Linked DNA regions of Sus scrofa. The protein of the gene in region 1 interacts with the protein of each later gene in a pairwise test. Links are inferred from orthologs where the notes say so. Each region holds a gene or a part of one and is shown in the gene's direction. Other genes may lie near its edges.

Region 1 (9,981 bases):
ACAGACTGCTGGGTCCTCCTGCATGACCCCGGCGGCCCCTGGCCGACAGAAGCCTGAGTTCGACCCGTGTTTATCTAACCAGGCCTCACACTCCTGGAAACCCCCTGTGACAGCCATGGAGGCTGATGCTGCCCCCGTGCCGCCTCCTCGGCGGCCAATGAGGAGTCAGCTCCGCCTGCCCTCTTTCCTCCCCTAGAGCTGCAGCCTACAGCAAACTGGGCAACTACGCAGGCGCCGTACAGGACTGTGAGCGAGCCATCTGCATAGACCCGTCCTATAGCAAGGCCTACGGCAGGATGGGGTAAGTACCCCTCACCCGCGTCCACACCTGCACCCGTGCAGGGCTTCCTCCTGGTGCGGTGGAATCTTTTCCACACCACCTGCCCACCCCAGCTCACCGACCTCTACAACAGTGCAGCCACTGCCTGCCTGGGGGCCATGCAGGCCCCTCAAGTTAAGGACTCCGCTCCACAGGACTTCCCACCTCACCCACCAGTCATGTCCAGGCCATCATCTGAGCTTCTCCACCAACTATACATCAGGATTCACAGAACTCAGAACCATTTCACGTACATTCACCTGCTCGTTGTAAAGTATGCAAACAGGGCGAGGTCAGGGTGGGTCCCAAGGCAGAGCTCCCATCCCCTTGGGGTTTGCACTGCACCCTTGACCTGCATTCAAGACAGTCACCAGTGGAGACAGTCTCCAGTCTCGCTGTTCAGGGTTTTTTTTTTTTTTGTCTTTTTTGCCATTTCTTGGGCCACTCCCATAGCATATGGAGGTTCCCAGGCTAGGGGTCTAATCGGAGCCGTAGCCACTGGCCTACGCCAGAGCCACAGCAACGCAACGCCGGATCCTTAACCCACTGGACAAGGCCAGGGATCGAACTGCAACCTCATGGTTCCTAATCAGATTCGTTAACCACTGCACCATGACAGGAACTCCTGTTCAAGGGTTTAATCACCTGTCTCTAGCACCTTCCTCCCCAAAGGCTGGGGTGAGTTTGTTTGGTCTTCCCGGACAAATGCCCATCCTGAGGCTCCTCATTAGCAGAATAAACTCAGGTGTGGTCCGAGGACAGTTCTGTGATGCCGCTCTGCCTGGAGCAGGGGGTTCTGACCACCCCTGTTCTGCCGCCTTCCGGGTCTTGTGCTACCCTCCCCGAGCCTGACTCCCCTCATGACCCGGGCAGCCTCCCAGGCCCCCCCCACACACACCTGCTGTCTCTCCTGCAGCCTGGCACTGTCCAGCCTGAACAAGCACACAGAGGCCGTGGCCTACTATAGGAAGGCCTTGGAGCTGGACCCCGACAATGAGACCTACAAGTCCAACCTCAAGGTCGCAGAGCTGAGGCTGAGAGAGGCGCCCAGCCCTGTGAGTCCCCTAGGGACGAGCCATGGGGACAGGGTGGTGGGGCAGACACTCCTGAGGCATGGGGTTGAGGGCTGGGCATGCCCTGTGTGAGAAGAAGGGAGGGGTGGGGGGCAGCATGTGTTTAATGGAGTCTTTTTGTACGGAAAGAAGCTTATCTTCACAGACCCCCAGGAAGAGGAAGGGGCCTGCCCAGGGAAGCCTTCGGGCTCCTGGGGGACAGAGCCTGTGGTATGGATCCCTCAGAAGGAGCAGGCAGGCGGGCGAGTGAGATCAGGATTCGCTAGTTTGAATGATCCCTGGGCTCTGGGGCAGGGGCTACCTGGGGTGATGAGGGCAGGGACAGGGCCCTGAGTATGGGAGGAGGAGGGCCTGGGGTGCCACTGTGCACTGGCTAGTTTGTGTGGGAAAGGAGCACCCTTGGGCGAGTCATAACTCTCCCTAGGGATTGGTCACCCCTGGGAAGGGCCGTCTGTCCAGGTCAGCGTCAGGACGGGAAAGACAGCTAACATGCCATGCCTTTCCTGAGTAACCCACACTGTGGTGCATGCCTTTTGCAAAGTGCTGTCTGGCCGCAGGACTGGGCTGCCAAGGCTGCTAGGACGCCCAGGATTCCAAACAGGGCCCACGTGGGACCCTGCTTCTCAGTTCCGGGGCCAGGCATCAGGGTCCTGTGTCCACACACACTAAGCAGGCTTTTCTCCCCCTATAGACGGGAGGTGTTGGCAGCTTTGACATCGCAGGCCTGCTGAACAACCCGAGCTTTATGAGCATGGTAAGATGACAGCTGCACATGTCCCACGAGTGCCATGTCCTGGGTGGGGGCAGGGTCCACATCGCCCCTTAAGACCCTCAGTGTTGAGCACAGAGGACAAACCAAACCTGCCTCTCTAGGCCAAATAACACAGCCTGGGCCCCTCAGGGTGTGGACACAGTGACAGCAGAGTGGCCGCGCCTTCTCCCTGAAGCTCAGACAAGACACTGTGGGGCGCTGGGCCCGGCGGAGGAAGGGCCACCTCCAGGGCCAGACACTCAGGTCCCCAGGCGAGTGTTCCGTGCAGGGACATCCTCTGGAAGCAGGCACCCAGCGTGTCTGCAGGTGCCTATCCACCCCTAGGTGGTCCTGCTGGTCCTCGGGCCACACTGCGGGGGTGTGGGGTCTCAGCTGTCAGGGAGAGGAGCTTGGAACCCTGGTCGTCAGAGAAGCCCCCTCCTCAGCGAGAGGCATCTGGCCTCCCATGTCTTAGAGCCTGGCCACTGCCCTTGCCCAGGGATGAGGTGGGCACAGGGCCACCCAGGGAGGCCCGGCGGGGGCTCTGCCTGACAGTAGCCACTCCTTTGGCCTCATGCATCTGGATCAGGGGTCATAGTCCCCCGTGGCTTTGTGTGGTAATGCCCGGATGGCAGGCCCAGTGGACAAGCCAAGACCGGCTGGTAGCGCTCTCTGGCCCGGAAGCCGCCTCCTCAGCTCCCTGCTCATCCAAATCTTGAAATTGGCCTAAGGAGATAATCCCATGGGGCCAAGATTGCAGGACAGCATCCAGGACGTTGTCATCCACAGAGCAGGTGACTCCCAAGGCAGCCTTGGTCGGGGAAGATAGTGTGATGCCTGGGAGCGCTTTTTTTTTTTTTTTTTAAGCTTTTTAATAAAATTTTTTTTTGGTCACTCTGGGACATCATGGAGTTCCACAGCCCCGGGCTGGGGATCAAACCTGTCCCAGAGCTCCAGAGACACTGCCAGTACTGTTGCACCACAGTGGGAACTTCCTGGAATCTCTTAATATGTGTCCAGCCACGGTCAAAGTTGGGCAGCAGAGGAGGGTCAGGGCACAGGGAGGAGGTGGGCCTGGTGCCCAGAGTGCTTACGCTGACAAGTCTGTTCTTTCTTCAGGCATCAAATCTAATGAATAATCCCCAGGTTCAACAGCTGTAAGTGACAGCCGTTCTTCTTTGGGTCTTGTGGTTAAAATGACTGGTAAAAGATGCATAAAATGTACCGTTGTGGGCATTCTAAGGTTTATGGTTCCATGGTGCCAAGTATACCAATGTCCTGTAGCTGTCGCCACCATCTGATTCCAGAGTTTTCATCTCCCCAGAAAGAAGCCCTGTCCCCATCAGCAGTCACTCCACCCCCTCCCTTGTCTCCAGTGTGCCTCTTCTGGACGTTTCTTGTAAATGAACTCGGGCATCCTGTGGTCTTTGCTGTCACCGGCATCCCCCAGTGTCCCTGGAGGACAGAATTGCCCCGTTGAGAATCACTACCTTTAAGCCAAGAAAGGACCTTCCAGGGGAAGCCGATGAAACACAGGCTGCAGTCAGAGAGAAGGGTGGGCCCTGGGCTGGTTTGGCAGCAACAGAAAAGGTCTCTTGCCTGCAGAGGGGAGAGGCTGAGTGGGGTGGCTGAGGGAGGGGGCTGGGCCGTCTGCGAGTCAAGGGCTCTCTCTGCAGCATGTCTGGCATGATTTCGGGTGGCCACAACCCCCTGGGGACTCCGGGCACCAGTCCCTCGCAGAACGACCTGGCCAGTCTCATCCAGGCGTGAGTGGATCTGCCGGGTGGGGTGGCTCCCAGGGGAGGAGGGGCCTGCACAGTAGTGTCCCCAGGTGCTCTTGGGGCCCATGTCCTCCAGGGAACAGTCCCCTACCCTGGGGTGGGGGTGGAGCTGGGCATGGGCCAAGCCTTTGCTCACCTCCGCAGGGGCCAGCAGTTCGCTCAGCAGATGCAGCAGCAGAACCCAGAGTTGATAGAACAGCTACGAAGTCAGATCCGCAGTCGGACCCCCAGTGCCAGCAACGATGACCAGCAGGAGTGATGGCCTGTGAGTCCCCGGGGCTGGGGGCTCCCTGAGCCATCAAGGCCAGGCGGGGGCATCTCAGGACACCAGGCCCTTGCCAAGCATTCCCACCCAAATCCCCTTCCACTTACCGTTCAGGTGGGCCATGCGGATGAGAGGTGGACCCCTCCTGAGTCTGCCGTGCTCTCGCAAGAGCATGGGCAGCTGTGACTGGATGTGGAAGACAGGCTGGCACATGCCTCTCACTCTGGATGTTAATGTCCAGGTTTTCTGATTTTGGTTTGTTTTGTTTCTTGCTGTGAGCAGATGTGACATGTACAATAATTGCTTTAAAAAAAAATACACCCAGATGTCCCAGGAGGGTCCCCAACAGCCTTGGCCAGCTTAGTTAGTGTCCAGGGCCCCCCCATCCCCATCCCGTCTCCATGGACACAGGCACAGGTGGCTCTCCTGCCCAGGGGGTGCGTTCCCTGCTTTCCCTTATTTGTCACCATCCCTCTTTATGCTTTTCTTTAACCATGACTTTTTATAGAAAATTCTAAAGGACAAAAATGTTAAAATACCAGTGGAGAACAACCCAAACCTTTCCATCCACAGCAACAAATGTTAAGATTCTGGATACTTTTCCTTCCAGACGTGTGTGTGCGTGTGCGTGTGCGCTTTAAAAGGCGGGGAGGGGATTTCCCTGGTGGTGCAGCAGGTTAAGGATCCAACATGGTCATTGCAGTGGCTCAGTCACTGTTGTGGCTCAGGTTCGATCCCTGGCCTGGGAACTTTCACATGCCACAGGTGTAGCCAAAAAATTTAAAAACCACATACACACATCTGAGGTCAAGTTTGTGTTCATCACTGGTCGGAGCCGGATCCCTGGAGTGCCTTCAAATCCCATCTGGCTGAGGATTTGCTTTAAGCCTGTCCTCCCACCGCCCTCTCCACCACAGGCACCGCGTGGCTCCATCTCCTGACCGCCACCCTCCTGTCTTCTTCCTCCAGCTGTCCCAGTGCCATCGGGTCCTGCGTGGCCGACCAGAAGCCTTCTTGTGTTCTGCCGTCTTCTCCCATTGGACTGCCCACGAGAGAAAAAGAAATTGGACCTGCATGTTAAGACAGATTTTTATTATTATTATTTTTTTTTGCCTTCACCCTTCTCTCCCTTTTTGTACTCTCATGGCCCCCAGACCTCTCTCGAAACAGAGCCAGCAAGCTGTGAGTGCAGACCAGCATCCATCTCCCTCCAACACCCCCCCAAACCTAGTGACTAAAGTGTTTTCTAAAATATTCCCAGGGTGGGGTAGTCTTCTCACTGCTGTCGGAGAAGCAGCCTGTGGGGATGCCGTGGCCCTGCTGCCCTTCCTGCAGCCCCGACCCCTTGGTCTGGCCTCGGGCCTCCCAGCCCTTCCTGAGTCGACTTTGGCCACCCCAGCTCTGACAAGCTCACTGCCAGCCACACCCGGCCCTAGGACCCGGGTTCGTGCATGAGGAACTCAGTTGCAGGTTCCTAGACAACGGTTCCGTCGTCCAGCGCCCAGCAGGGCCAGGGGAATGTCCTGGGTGCACAGGACGGTTTTTTTTCCTGTTGCGTGTTTTGATGGATGCGTGTCTGATCTACATCCTCTTTTCCCAGTGCTCGAGACCGACAGACTGCAAGGGGCACCCTCATGGCCCCATCCCAGCCTATCCCTGTGTCCCAGACACTGCCCTCTTGCCTCCAGGTGGTCCCACTGACCCAACGCATGGCATCCTCAGCAGGCTCTCATTCTGTTCGGGGTGGCAGCTGCAGGGCCCTGGTGCCACCTGCCCTGGGAGATTTCCAGGCAGCCATGGAAGCAGCTTCTGGAGCAGGGGTGGGTCAGCCACTGTGGATGTCCCCTGAGCCCTGGCCTGGGCAGGGGCAGGGTGGGGAGGAGATGTCGCTAGCGTCACTGCACCCATGCCCATATTGGCAGTGGGATCACCTGAGGCTCCTGGTGGTGGGGGGGCGTCTGTGAGGTAGACCCATCGCCATGTGTCGTAGGTAACTCTAGGGAGACAGCCACCTGCGCTCTGCACGCGTCCGGAGAGATATGTCCTGATTCTAGAGTGCTAGCCATGGTGACAAGCATAATGTGTGGGGAATAAATAGACATCGTGACCTCTGCTCTGTGTTGCTCTTTCAGCACCACTCCCACCCTCCCTGACCCGAGCTTCCAGGAATCCCCAGCCTGGGTGGACCCCGCATGAGTCACCTTGAAACCATTGAACCAGGTCATGTATATATTTCCTACAGCCCCTGAGATGTTCCCACAAATTCAGTGGCTTTTTTTTTTTTTTTTTTTTTTTTTTTTTGCTTTTTGGGGCCGCTCCTTCGCTGTATGGAAGTTCCCAGGCTAGTGGTCTAAACAGAGCTGCAGCTGCTGGCCTATGCCACAGCTATAGCAACGTGGGATCCGAGCCTCGTCTGTGACCTACACAACAGCTCACTGCAATGCCGCATCCTTAAGTCCACTGAGCAAGGCCAGGGATCGAACCTGCATCCTCATGGATACTAGTTGGGTTCATTACCACTGAGCCACAATGGGAACTCCCTCAGTGGCTTTTAACCACGCACATCATCTCAGTCCTGGAGGCCAGGAGTGGGACCAGGGCTAAACCTGGGCATGGATGGGACTGGCACCTTCTGGAGGCTCCAGGGAAGAATCAGTTCCTGCCTTTTCCAGTTTCTGGAGGCCACACATATGACATGGGCAGAGGGGCCCATCAGGACCTGCACTTGGCTGCAAGCTGGCCGTTGGGCTGTGGGGACACTTTCAGCCCTTGGAACAGGAGCCTGCGACACCTACCACCTTCAGCTCCAAGGAGTTAGCCTTCCATCCTCCAGTGACCTTGAGCTTCCACGTCCTGCAGAGATGACCTCAATGTTTTCCTTTTTTTGTTTGTTTGTTTTTGTTTTGTTTTAGGTTTTTAGGGTTGTACCTGTGACACATGGAAGTTCCCAGGCTAGGGGTTGAATCAGAGCTATAGCTGCTGGCACAGCCACAGCAACGAAGGATCTAAGCCACATCTGCGACCTACACCATAGCTCATGGCAACACTGGATCCTTAACCCACTGAGCAAGGCCAGGGATTGAACCCGCTACCTCATGGTTATTAGTAAGTTTCGTTTCCACTCTGCCAAATGGGAACTCCCATGGTGTTTTCCTTGTCTCTTGGATGGTGGCCAGCAGAGACTTAAATTTCAAAGAGGAGGAAGGGCCCATTCCTGGTGCCACTGGTGGACATGGAAGCTCTCTGCTGTCCTCACCGCTCCCCTACACCACTACCCCAACTCCCCAGCACAGGCCGAGTGTTGTGGGCACCAGTGGAGCAGGTGAGGAAGGTGGCCCGGCCAGCTCTGAGTTTCTGATCTGTGTTTGCACAGAATCTCATTGATTTCTGCACACTTAATCTTGGTGGCTCACTCAGTCTTGAGAACCACTGAGTTGATGCAGTAAACCGGCATTTTACATAGCTTCAGCCACCTGCCCAAGGAAATGATTCCTTTATAAAAATGCAGGAGTTCCCAGCTGGCTCAGTGGGTTAAGGATCTGGTGTTGTCACTGCTGTGGTATGTGTTCAATCCCTGGCCCCAGAAATTCCAAATCCCAAAGGCATGGCCCAAAAAAACCCAATACTTTGGTTACTTCCCAGTTTCTCTGAGTCAGAAATCAGGTTCAGCTGGGGTCTCTGCCTGGGTCCCAGCCTGGTCTGTGGTATCTGCTCACAGGTTGTGGACAAAGTTCAGTCCTTACCTTGTAGATTGAGGCCTGACTCCCTCCGCTCCCAGAAGTGGCCCTCAGCTCTGTGTGTCCCCCTGCCTCCCAATGGGGCCTCCTCTATTCATCTCCTGGGGCTGCCAGAGCAAATTACTATAGACTTGGTGGCTTAAACCAACACACTTTTACTCTCTCATGGTTCTGGGAACCAGATGCACAAAACCAGTTTCTCCAGTTCAAAAGCCAGCGCTCCATCCAGGCATCCCAGGGGAGGATCCACCCCTTGCATCCTCCAGGGGCTGTGGTGTCCTTGGCTTCTGGCCACGTCTGTCCAGTCTCTACCTCTGTCTTCACATGACCTCTCCTGTCTGTGTCCAATCCCCCTCTGCATCTCTTTTTTCCCCCTTTGGCCACATCAGTGCCGTTTGGAAGTTCCCAGTCCACAGCAGCAACCAAAGCCTCAGCAGTGACAATGCCAGGTCCTTAGCCCACTGAGCTACCAGGGAACTCCCTCTGCCTCCTTTTTATAACAGTCCTTGTGGTGATACTGGACCCGCCCTGGGTGATGAGAGATCACCCCCATCTCATCTCAGAGTCCTTAATTTAATCCCACCTGCAAAAACCCTTTTGCTATGTATGGTATCACAGGTTCCAGCAACTATGACATGGCTATCACTGGGATCAATAATAGATAGCCTTGGGAGCTCCCGTCATGGCTCAGTAGTTAACAAACCTGACTAGTATCCATGAGGACGTGGGTTCAATCCCTGACCTTGTTCATATGCAACAGGTGCGGCCCCCAAAATAATAATAGCCTTCCGAAACTCCCCACATGGCCACTTTCATCATTAAAGCTGCAGGGGGCAATCAGTGAGCAGGACGTAACCTTCTGTAACATGATGTAATCCTGAGGATAGTCATCACCTATCTTGTTGGTTCGAAGTGAGTTGCAGGTCCTGTCCTCAAAGGACAACCACAGCCACTGGGAAGTGGGAGTTACTGGGCTGTCTTAGAGCCCGTTTGCCATAGACTTGAGCTCAGCCAAGTCTCCCAGCCAACCAGAACCTGATAGCCTGCCTCTAAGCCTCTGTCCTGTCCAAAGTTCTGAAGAGCAGTCCTGAGTCCTCAGGGCCTGAGTCTGGCAGGAGTCGTGGCATCTTGGGTCTTTAGTGACTCCCTTGCCGTCACTTCCATGCAAGCCCAGTTTAGATCAGTCTGTTCAAGAATTCAGAAAGGAGTTCCTGTTGTGGTGCAGCAAAAACTAATCTGACTAGTATCCATGAGGATGGGGTTGGATCCCTGGCCTCACTTGGTGGGTCAAGGATCTGGCATTGCTGTGAGCTAGAGCTGTGGTGTAGATTCCACCCCTAGTCTGGGAACTTCCACATGCCACGCGTGCAGCCCTAAAAAGTAAAAAATTAAATAAAAATTAAGAAAGGAGAGAGAAAAATTCCAGCATCCTTCTAAGGCTTTACAAACCTTCTAGAACATGCAAAATCTTAACGCTTCATGGTGCCAGTGAAGCCTGTTTCCTCTTTATCTGTGATGATCAAGGATTGGCTGGGGGCTTCTTGCTCAGAGGTGCAGATTAAGTGGTCCCCATCTGGGCTGCCCTTGAAATCATCTGAGGGCTTTTATCACTGACACCTGCATCCCACCCTCCCCAAAAAACTCACCTAGGGTGGCAATGGTCAACCAGGGTGACTCTGCCCCCCAGGGGACACTGGGTGAGATCTGGGGACATTTTTGGATGTCAGGAGTGAGGGGTGCTCCTGGTATCAAGTGTGTGGAAACCAGGGAGGCTACTCAACACCCTGCAGAGCTCAAGAACTACTGACCCAGACTATGCATTCCCCTGAATTTATTTAGCCAGCCCCCTACTGGTTCTGTATTTTCAAACAAGCAGACCTGGAGATCCTGAGGCACCTGTTTGGAGAAGCCCATGCTGAGGGGCGCTGGTGGGCACAGGGTGGAGGGAGGGAATAGAAGTCACACCTTCCCTCCCATCCTGTGTGCGCATCCCTGGGAGGCCCTGCAGAGACTCTTGCAAAGTTACCCAACACCCAGTCTAAGAGTTCGCGAAAG
Region 2 (9,686 bases), on another chromosome or scaffold:
CAGGTGAGTGCCAGCCACCTGCTCCAGCTGCCAGTGAGGTAGGGAGCCTAGAGGTGGGTGCTGGGGAGCTCAGGAATCCAGGGGTTCTCCTCACCGAGGACTTGAAAAATAGGTACATAGCCTCCACGACTGCAGGAGTTTCCACAGGTCACTTCTTGCAGTGTAAATTCAAGCCGCACGTCTTCCAAAGCTGGAGAGCATCTGCGGATGGCTAAGCTCTGGTGGTTCCTCTGCTCCCCCCTCCCCATCCCCTCTCTCTCCCCCCTTTTCTAAATTGAGGTGAAGTTCACATAACCTGAAATTAACCATTTTAAACTGAGCAGTTCATGGCATTTACGCGTTCACAGCGCACAGGCCCCACACATCACCCCCGAAAGGAGGCTCCGGCCTGTTAGCTGTCACTTCCTGAATCACGACAGCTGTGGCGACGCGGGATCCTTAACCCACTGGCCAGGCCGGGGATCAAACCCGTGCCTCCACAGCAACGTGAGCAGCTGCTGCATATGGAAGTTCCCAGGCTAAGGGTCGAATTGGAGCTGCTGGCCTGCACCTCAACCACAGCAACAGTAAATGCAAGCCAGGTCTGCGACCTACACCACAGCTCACGGCAACACCAGATCCTTAACCCACCGAGCGAGGCGAGGGATCGAACCTGCATCCTTCAGGAGCACAGAGACTAGTCAAGTTCTTAACTTGCCGAGCCACAGCGGGAACTCCTCGTTGATTCTTGATTCCATGTTTTCATGGCAAAAGCCCCACAACGCTTTGTCTGTCATGGGCCCTGAGGCAGCACCTCGCTTGCCTGAGTAAATGCTTTGACTTTATAGGCAAAGGAGGTGTTTTTGGGACTCGAGGGGGGCAGGACTGAAGCTGCAGGTTGCGTTGGGTAGTCCTGTCATCTTAGCAATTTGCCCTCTTCCAAACCGTGACTGTGGCTTGTGTTTGCAGCCGTCTGCGTTTCCTTGCATTCCTCTCAGCAGCGTTTTCTGCTTCTCACTCACTGTTCATTCTGCCACCTCCCCTTGGTTGCGATTGTCTCCAGGTGTGGGTCTGTGTGCCTGGAGGCCCCCTGAGACCCTGGTTCCGGGGCTTCCTGCTGTTCCCTTTGTTTTTTTTTTTTTTTTTTTCCTTGGGCCGCTCCTGCAGCATATGGAGGTTCCCAGGCTAGGGGTCGAATCAGAGCTGTAGCTGCCAGCCTACGCCAGAGCCACAGCAACTCGGGACCCGAGCCGCATCTGCAACCTACACCACAGCTCACGGCAACGTCGGATCCTTAACCCGCTGAGCAAGGGCAGGGACCGAACCCGCAACCTCATGGTTCCTAGTCAGATTCGTTAACCACTGCGCCACGGCGGGAACTCCTGCTGTTCCCTTTGTGATGAATAGGCCTCTGGTGGAAGGTTCTCTGCAGGCCCTGCTGCCCTCAGACCGCCCGCCCCCGGGCTCCTGCCTGAATCTCCACTGTCCCCATTCTTGTTTCATCCTGTCCTTCGTCTCCGTTACACGATAGAACTCAAGTGCTTGTACGTACTGTATATGTCTGTGTGTCTTCAGTGTGTGCATGTGTGTGTGTACATAGGTGTGTGTGCGTGTGCTTTGGGTATATGTGTATTCACATATGTTAGTCTGGACGCTTCATGTCCTCTTAATTCAATGGGTAAGAATTCTTTCTATTTTATGATCGTTATTTTTTTGGCCTCCCCGTGGCGTATAGGTTCTCTCTCTGGGGGTCAGATCTGACCTAATCCGCAGCTGCAGCCGTGCTGGATCCTTAATGCACCTTGCCGGGCGGGGGAACGAACCTGTGTCCTAGCGCTCCCAAGATGCCGCGGATCCCATTGGGCCACTGCGGGCACCCCATTGCTTGATCATTCTTCGCAGCCGTGATTTTTTTTTTTTTTTTTTGCTCTTAAAGGCCGCACCCTCGGCATATGGAGGTTCCCAGTCTAGGGGTCCTGTCGGAGCTGTAGCCACCGGCCTACACCAGAGCCACAGCAACGCGAGATCCGAGCTGCATCTGCAACCTACACCACAGCTCACGGCTGTGCCGGATCCTTAACCCACTGATCGAGGCCAAGGATTGAACCTGCATCCTCATAGATACTAGTCGGGTCTGTTAACTGCTAAGCCATGACGGGAACTCCTGCAGCCATGATTTGATGCTCGCGTTGGCTCAGTGAGAAACTCATCCACTGGCCCAGGCCCTTTCAGCAGGCAGAGCTGGGCAGTAAGTTCACAAAGGTGCAGCTGTGCATGTGTCTGCGTGTGCGTGTGTGTCTGGCGTGTATGTGTGCGCTCAGCCATGTTTGCACGCTCCTCCACCTTCCTTCTGAGTCACAAGTCCTTGCCAGCACCCACTGGCATCCCGGGTCTGCGAGGTCCCTTGTGGGGTCCCTTCTCTGATGGTGAGAAGCTGGGCCCCGGTCCCCCGTGTGTGCTCACCTGCCGGGCGTCGGGGCTTGGGGCCCCTCGGAGCGGCTCACCTGCGCTCCAGGAAGGGGGCTGCTTGGAGCGCTGTTTCTGGCTCTACTCTGGGGTCCAGAGTTGCACCAGGACGTACCTGCTTGGTGGCTCCCCACCTTCCGTGGCTTGGCCAGCGGCTGCTTTGATGCTGTTCCTTAGTCACCCGCCAGCGACAGGCCTGGCTGCCTGGGCTGCTCCCAGGCAGGGGAGCGTGCAGTGCCCCAGGGATCAGAAGGAACGCAGGGCACCGGGACTGGTGGGCCTCCGCTGCAGTGACCCCTCTCCTGAGGCTTGCTGTCCTGTTTGCCCTGGAGCTGCCCAGCTTGCCTGCACTCTCTTCCTCCTGGGGCTGGGGTTCGGGGCCAGGCCCAGGTGTCCCGTGGAAAACAGGTGTCAGCTGTGCACGTCGGACACCCACCTCCCCCAACCCAAGCAGCACGAGTCAGCAGCTTGGACGTTGGGCATGGGCTGAACACAGCCTGGACTGGGCCCGTGGGCTGCAGCAGAGCAGGCAGGGTGTGCTGGAGTTAGGGGCTGGTGCCCGTGGGTGTCACCGCCACACGTCCCCGCCCTTCCCAGGTACCTTGGTGACCAGGGCGGAGGCCACAGACGCGGACGACCCGGAGACGGACAACGCGGCCCTCCGGTACTCGATCCTGGAGCAGGGGGGCCCCCAGCTCTTCAGCATCGATGCGCTCTCAGGGGACATCCGCACGGTGCAAGTGGGCCTGGACCGCGAGGTGAGGGCTGCTCACCGCGGCCGACATTCCCCTCGGGCCTGGGCCGGGCAGACCCAGCCTGAGCCACCCTGCCCTGTGGGTGGGCGGGTGGGTAGATCCGAAGCCGGTTTACGGGCCCTCAGCCCCTTTTCAGCCCAAAGTCCCGCCTGTTGCCTGTGAAGAATTCAGGCTCCCTGGCCCGGGGTAGGGCCGTCCGTGTGGCCCCTCGCTGCCAGGCTCCTTTCCGTGTGGCATCTGCACCTCCAGGAAGCCCTCCTTGGTTCCCCACAGCCACCCAGGTGCTCTGTCTGGCTACTTACCATGCGAGGTGATCTTTGCCCCCTTTCTCTGCCACTGCTCCCGGCTCCCCAGGGCAGGGACTAGCACCTTGCATGCAGCAGGCGCTCTGTAAATGCTTATCTGACTCGGTCACTGCTCTTCTGCCTGCTCACAGGCTGGGGCAGAGCCTGGAGTCGACAGTCCTGTGGTGGGACTGAGAAGCCAGGCAGCACCTTGTGCCCCAGGACTGCAGAGCAGGGCAGGTACTCGAGCCACCTGGGGTCTCAGAGCCACGAGCGCCTGGCAGGGGGCTGAGCTGCAGGGGGTGTGCCTACCCTGCCCCCAAGCCCTAAGGTGGCCACGCAGCCCTGGCCACATGCTCCATCCAGTCTCCTGATGCTGCGTCACCTGTCCCCAGGTGGTCGCCGTGTACAACCTGACCCTGCAGGTGGCAGACATGTCTGGAGACGGGCTCACGGCCACCGCCTCAGCTGTCATCACGCTCCAGGATGTCAATGACAACGCCCCCGAGTTCACTGGGGAAGAGGTGGTGGCTCCGCCCTTGCCCCGCTGCCGCTGCTTGGGGCTGCCCTGGTCGGGGCTCCTGGTGAGGGGTGGGGGGCTGGGAGCCCGGAGGAGACACCCCGCATGGTTGGTTCAAGGCCCCGATCAGCACAGGTGGCTTGTGAGCACGTCAAGCGTCGGGAGCTTGGTGGTGGGGGCCGTGGCCCTGCCTTGGAGAGGGCAGTGCCTGCCTGGCCAGCAGCTGAGGGGGGCGGTGGTTCCCGGGCCCCTGGGCCAGAGGACTGCGCTTGGGTGGGCAGTGGGTGGGAGAGACCGGCCTGTGGGTAACGGGGCCGAGTTTCTGCAGTTCTTCCTGGAGGCCGCCGAGGCCGTCAGCGGCGTGGACGTGGGGCGGCTTGAGGTGGAGGACCGGGACCTGCCCGGCTCCCCCAACTGGGCGGCCAGGTTCACCATCTTGGAGGGTGACCCTCAGGGGCACTTCGCCATCCGCACGGACCCCAGGACCAACGAGGGCGTGCTGTCCGTGGTGAAGGTGAGCTGGCGGGCGTCTCTCACACCGGCCACCTGATGGAAGCGTCCGTGGCCCCTCAGGAAGGAGCAGCCAGAGGGCCTGGCGCGCGGGGACTGCAGGCTTGGGTCACGCAACACAGGACGACAGGGCTGAGAGGCGGGGCAGCACCACCCGCTCGGGGTTATTTCCGGCGTTCGACGCATGTTCCCGGTGAGCACGTGCAGACCTCACGTGTCGACTGACCTGAAACCAGAGAGAGAACCAGCAAGAGATACATTTCTGCATGCCTGTGCACACACAGCTACACACACGCGTGCACACACGTGCACATGCATGCGCACACAGCCACACATGCACACACACATGCGCACGCACGGCTACACACACAGCTATACACACGCATGCATGCACACGTATGCGTGCACACTGCAGCTCACATATGTTTGTGCAGAGAGAGATTTCGATGGTTCCTGGGGCCACTGAGTGGCAGCTGGCCGGCTGAAAGCCTAGGAGCTGAGGCCGCACCTGGAGGCCGGGTTCCTTCTTCTGCAGGGAGATGGCACGTTTGCTCTCAAAGGCTTCCAGCCACAGACAAGACCCTTCCCCACCCGCTTATCCAGGATAAGCCGCTTGGTTTAAAGTTTCTGTATGGCCAGCTTAAGCATGGGGCCCGATGAGTGTCTGCCCCCCTGAGTCACTGAGGGGGACAGTCCAGCCAAGTGACAGAAAACTGACCACACAGCTCCCCACAGACTCATTTCGAGTGAAGAGTATTTGTCGTTTTTACAGTCTTCTTCGTGCTTTTTGTCTTGCATTATTTTTATTTTCCCAAGGCTGAAAAGAAGGAAGTTGGGGCTCTGAGGTCAGAGGAGGGCGGCAGTGCCAGTGTGCAGGGCTCTCCAGCCCAAGCTGCCTGGGGCGCCCCCGCTGCGCAGGGCCCCGAGGCGTGATGGGCCGCCCCTCTGCTTTCCTGCAGCCCCTGGACTATGAGAGCTGCGAGCGGTACACCCTCAAAGTGGCGGTGCAGAATGAGGCCCCCCTGCAGGCAGCCGCCCCCAGGGCTGAACGGGGCCAGGCCAGGGTCAGCGTGCAGGTGCGGGATGTCAACGAGCCCCCCGTGTTCCGGGAGAACCCGCTAAGGGCCAGCCTGGCTGAGGGGGCAGCCCCAGGAACCCCCGTGGCCACCTTCTCTGCCCGAGACCCTGACACACGTCGGCCGCAGAGGCTCAGGTGGGGGCCTCGGCTGAGCAGAGGGGACCCCCAGCCAGGGCAGCACAGCTCAGAGTGTGAGGCCTGTGCCCCGGGTTCCCGCAGGTCTGCGCTGTGGTTGGAGGGTGGGGGCTCATCCGTGTGTGTCACCAAGCGTCCACGCATGTGCTTGTGTTCATGCGGCCTTGCTGGCGGGGCAGGGCTGGGCTCTCCCCGGCGCAGCTGACTTGGCCTCCATCGTTCCCCAGCCGCGCTGGGAAGCCGCTGTTCCCGTGGGACTGGGTGTTAACACCTTGGACTTCACCCCCTGCCCTGGCCCCGTGGATCTGGGTCTGTCCCCGTGGTGCCACGGTTGAACCCTGTTGTCACTCAGGGGCCGGGGGCCCTGAGCAGCTTGCCTGCCCTCCCGACCCTCAGTTTCTTCGTCTGCTGTTTGGGCCGCGTAGGGCTCTAGAACCAGCTTCAGAGGTGTCTGTGTGTCTCCGTGGGACACACCCCTGGGGTCGCACTTGGGCCCAAGGCCACCCACTGCCCTGCCCCCCAACAGCTACTCCAAGGACTACGACCCTGAAGACTGGCTGCACGTGGACGGGGCCACTGGCCAGGTCCAGACGCAGCGTGTGCTCAGCCCCGCATCCCCCTTCCTCAAGGATGGCTGGTATCGCGCCGTCATCCTGGCCCAAGACGATGGTGAGTGCGGAGCCCGGCCTGGGCCCCCCGCTGCTGCCCAAGGGCTCTGGGCTGGGGGCTCCACCGAGCAGGCCTGCGGGGGGAGGCGAGGGTTCCCGTGGGCCGAGGGCTCACCAGGCCCGTCCTGCCTGCAGCCTCACCACCCAGCACGGCCACTGGGACCCTGTCCATTGAGATCCTGGAGGTCAACGACCACGCCCCCGAGCTGTCCCCGCCTTGGGGCAGCCTGTGCAGCGCGCCAGACCAGGGCTCCGGCCTTCTCCTGGGGGCCACGGATGAGGACCTCCCCCCCCACGGGGCCCCCTTCCACTTCCAGCTGAGCCCCAGGGTTCCAGAGCTGGCCCGGAACTGGAGCCTCAGCCCTGTGAATGGTGAGCTCTCCCCACGCCCCTGCGGGTCCAGAGCCTGGGGCCTGCCGGGGTCACTCCGCATCGTGGTCCCACTGGCTCCCTCCGCGGTGCCTCCGCGGGCCGGGTAGGGATGGGTGACACACCCTATGGACAGATGGGGAGGCAGAGCCCCAGCATCTCAGGAACCCCACGCAGCAGGCTCCCACCCCAAGCACAGGCACAGAGGGGGTCGGGAGGTGGATGGGCAGCTCGGAGCTGCTGCCTCGCCCCTGCTGACCGCGAGCGCCCTCTGCAGTGAGCCATGCGCGCCTGCAGCTGCGGCACCAGGTCCAGGAGGGTCTGTACCGCCTCAGCCTGCTGCTTCGGGACTCAGGACAGCCGCCGCAGCAGCGCGAGCAGCCCCTGAACGTGACCGTGTGCCGCTGTGGCCAGGACGGCACCTGCCTGCCAGGAGCCGCTGCGCTGCGGGCGGGCGGCGCCGGCATCAGCCTGGGGGCCCTGGTCATCGTGCTGGCCAGCGTCATCCTGCTGCTCTGTGAGTGCCGGCCTGCGCACCCCAGCGCTCGGACCCACGCCCCCCGCAGCCCCTTCCGTCTCCCCTGCCCCATGCCCACCCGACCTCCGCCCCATCCCCCACCTAGTGCTCGCCCTGCTGGTGGCCCTCCTGGCGCGGTCCCGGCAGCAGTCGTGGGACAAGGGGCTTCTGCACGGGCTGCAGGACGATCTCCGGGACAACATCCTCAACTACGATGAGCAGGGGGGCGGGGAGGAGGACCAGGTGAGGGGACGGGGCTTGAAGTGCTGAGTGGGGGGGGTCTCTGTGGGGCCCCTGCCGGCCGCCCCAGGAGGGCACCCAGACCCGCGGCTGAGCTCCCTGGCGCTCTGTCCACAGGATGCCTATGACATGGACCAACTGCGCCACCCAGAAGAGCTGGCGGCCCTGAGCGCCCCCCTAGGAAGGCCGCTGATGCGCCGAGATGCCCCGTTTGGCCGAGCGCGCCCCCAGGCTCCCCGTGCGCTGCCCACCAGCCCCACTGACATCGCTGACTTCATCCTCGATGTAGGTGCCAAGCGGGTGGCGGGACCAGGCCCGTGCTCACATGCCCCCTCACGCCTGGGGCGCGCTTGGGGCGCAGGATGGAGGGCTGGAGGTAGGGGCTCGAGTCCGCGAGAGGGAAACCCACCCAGAGGGGACCTTGCCTCTAGTCCGCGTTCTGTGGCAGGTGCTCCCAAGGGCCGGCTCAGGGCTGCTGTGCCAACCCTGGTCACCCCTTTCCCCCTTCTGGCTCTGTCTCCCGGGAGCCTCTCCGGAGCCACTGCCACAGTGGCGGAGGCCACCGGCCGGGCAGGTCAGCACTGCTCCTGAGCCCCAGGCCTGTTCACAGGGCTTGGAGGCTGCAGACAGTGACCCCAGCGTCCCCCCCTACGACACGGCTCTCATCTACGACTACGAGGGGGACGGCTCTGTGGCCGGGACGCTGAGCTCCATCCTGTCCAGCCTGGGCGACGAGGACCAGGACTACAGCTGCCTCCAGGACTGGGGCCCCCGCTTCGCCCGGCTGGCCGATTTGTACGGGCCCCCGTGAAGGTGCCGGGGACGTGGCTTTCGGATGGACCTGTACCCTCCTTGCTCAGGGCACTTCCTCCCCATCCAGAGGGCACACCACAGGGGTCCAAGTGGACACGCTGGACTGGGCTGTGTGGCCGGAAGGGTCAGCTGACCTCTGCACGGCAGACAGGGCACCAGGTCCGTGGCGTGGGTGGGTGGCCTGAGGCGTAGGCCAGCAGCTGCAGCTCCGATTCAGGAACTTCCATATGCCTTGGGTGCAACAACAACAAAAAAAAGCAAAAAAAAAAAAAAAAAAAAAAAAAATAGCCCCTTCATGTAGAATCCTTCTGACCTTAGTCCCTCGGGCCTCGGATTCCCCAGTGCACCCTGGGTAGACGGACAGGGTAGAACGAACAGCAGCCTCCTGCCCACCAATCATTCTGAGGGCTGACCCCAGAGCTGCACCCCCAACCAATGGGCAGACCTCCGGCCAAGCAACAGCTCTGTTGGCCTGCAGGGCCCACACTCACATTGGCCCCCATGAGGAGAAGTAGGGATGCCAGCCTAGGACCAAGGCAGCAGCACCAGGCAGCACCCCCAGAGATTTGCCGCTGCCTCCAGGCTGGCCGCCAGGAAGCAGGGCCAAGAGAAGGCGGGCTCACACGGGGCCAGGCTGCGCAGGAAGTTGACTGATGCCCCTGCCCCTCAGCCTGGGAGGGCTGGCCAAGCTCCAGGCCACCCAGCCAGGGACTCTTGGCCCAAGGAGAAGGCGGAGACCTCACTCCAGCCTTCCCACACCCTCCCTTCCTCACAAACCGAAGCCCAGGATGAGTCCGTTTCTCCAGGCGATGCGGGTGTGCCAGGGTGCCAGGACATGGGTGCCAGGGCTGGGGGCACCCCGCACACTGCACGTCCAGCTCTGTGGCCCCAGGGATACAAAGGGGCACGAGTGATGGATGTCACCTGTCCTCACTTCACCAGCACCGGCGCCCCTTCTCCCTGCTGCTGCATTACCCAAGGCCAGGGTACACCTCCTCCGAGCTGTCCTCGGGGTCCACGCCGCCGGCTTCTGCAAAGGGCCATGAGATCTTGGTTCTGGCTGGCTGCCCTGTGGCGATCAGCCAGCAGGGAGATTCGGGAAGCAGGGCTGGAAACCTGCAGGGTTGGGTGAAGGTGCCAGAGGGCAGGCAGAGGCCAAGCCCTGTCCCTGGACCCAGTGGGGACGCACACGACCTCCCGCGTCTCCGTGCCGTGTACTTAGAGCTGCACGGAGGTCAAGGGGAAGCAACCCCGGTGACCTCCACCGAAGATGTGAAGCCTGGTCCCGCCACTGGGACCCGGAGGAGCAGCAGGAGTCCTGTTGCCGAGGCGGTGTGGGGGCCCCGCAGCTC

The links. The genes of interacting proteins can lie anywhere in the genome.
Region 2: the proteins of SGTA (region 1) and CDH15 interact in binary tests that used the Homo sapiens proteins (3 or more experiments, as listed by UniProt). The two-hybrid records come from large-scale screens. The link is inferred for Sus scrofa from reciprocal best matches to the Homo sapiens genes SGTA and CDH15.

The regions. Positions count from the first base shown.
Region 1 is NC_010444.4:75,889,978-75,899,958, forward strand, and holds the end of SGTA (small glutamine-rich tetratricopeptide repeat-containing protein alpha), read left to right. Parts: intron 1-196; coding exon 197-301; intron 302-1,235; coding exon 1,236-1,374; intron 1,375-2,083; coding exon 2,084-2,146; intron 2,147-3,262; coding exon 3,263-3,300; intron 3,301-3,819; coding exon 3,820-3,909; intron 3,910-4,068; coding exon 4,069-4,183; 3' UTR 4,184-4,189; intron 4,190-5,106; exon of another isoform or gene 5,107-5,158; 3' UTR 5,159-6,301; downstream 6,302-9,981. UniProt on the Homo sapiens protein: Co-chaperone that binds misfolded and hydrophobic patches-containing client proteins in the cytosol. Mediates their targeting to the endoplasmic reticulum but also regulates their sorting to the proteasome when targeting fails.
Region 2 is NC_010448.4:635,283-644,968, reverse strand, and holds the end of CDH15 (cadherin-15), read left to right. Parts: coding exon 1-3; intron 4-3,042; coding exon 3,043-3,203; intron 3,204-3,879; coding exon 3,880-4,008; intron 4,009-4,332; coding exon 4,333-4,518; intron 4,519-5,473; coding exon 5,474-5,727; intron 5,728-6,253; coding exon 6,254-6,396; intron 6,397-6,530; coding exon 6,531-6,767; intron 6,768-7,041; coding exon 7,042-7,281; intron 7,282-7,387; coding exon 7,388-7,524; intron 7,525-7,638; coding exon 7,639-7,806; intron 7,807-8,131; coding exon 8,132-8,332; 3' UTR 8,333-8,619; downstream 8,620-9,686. UniProt on the Homo sapiens protein: Cadherins are calcium-dependent cell adhesion proteins. They preferentially interact with themselves in a homophilic manner in connecting cells; cadherins may thus contribute to the sorting of heterogeneous cell types.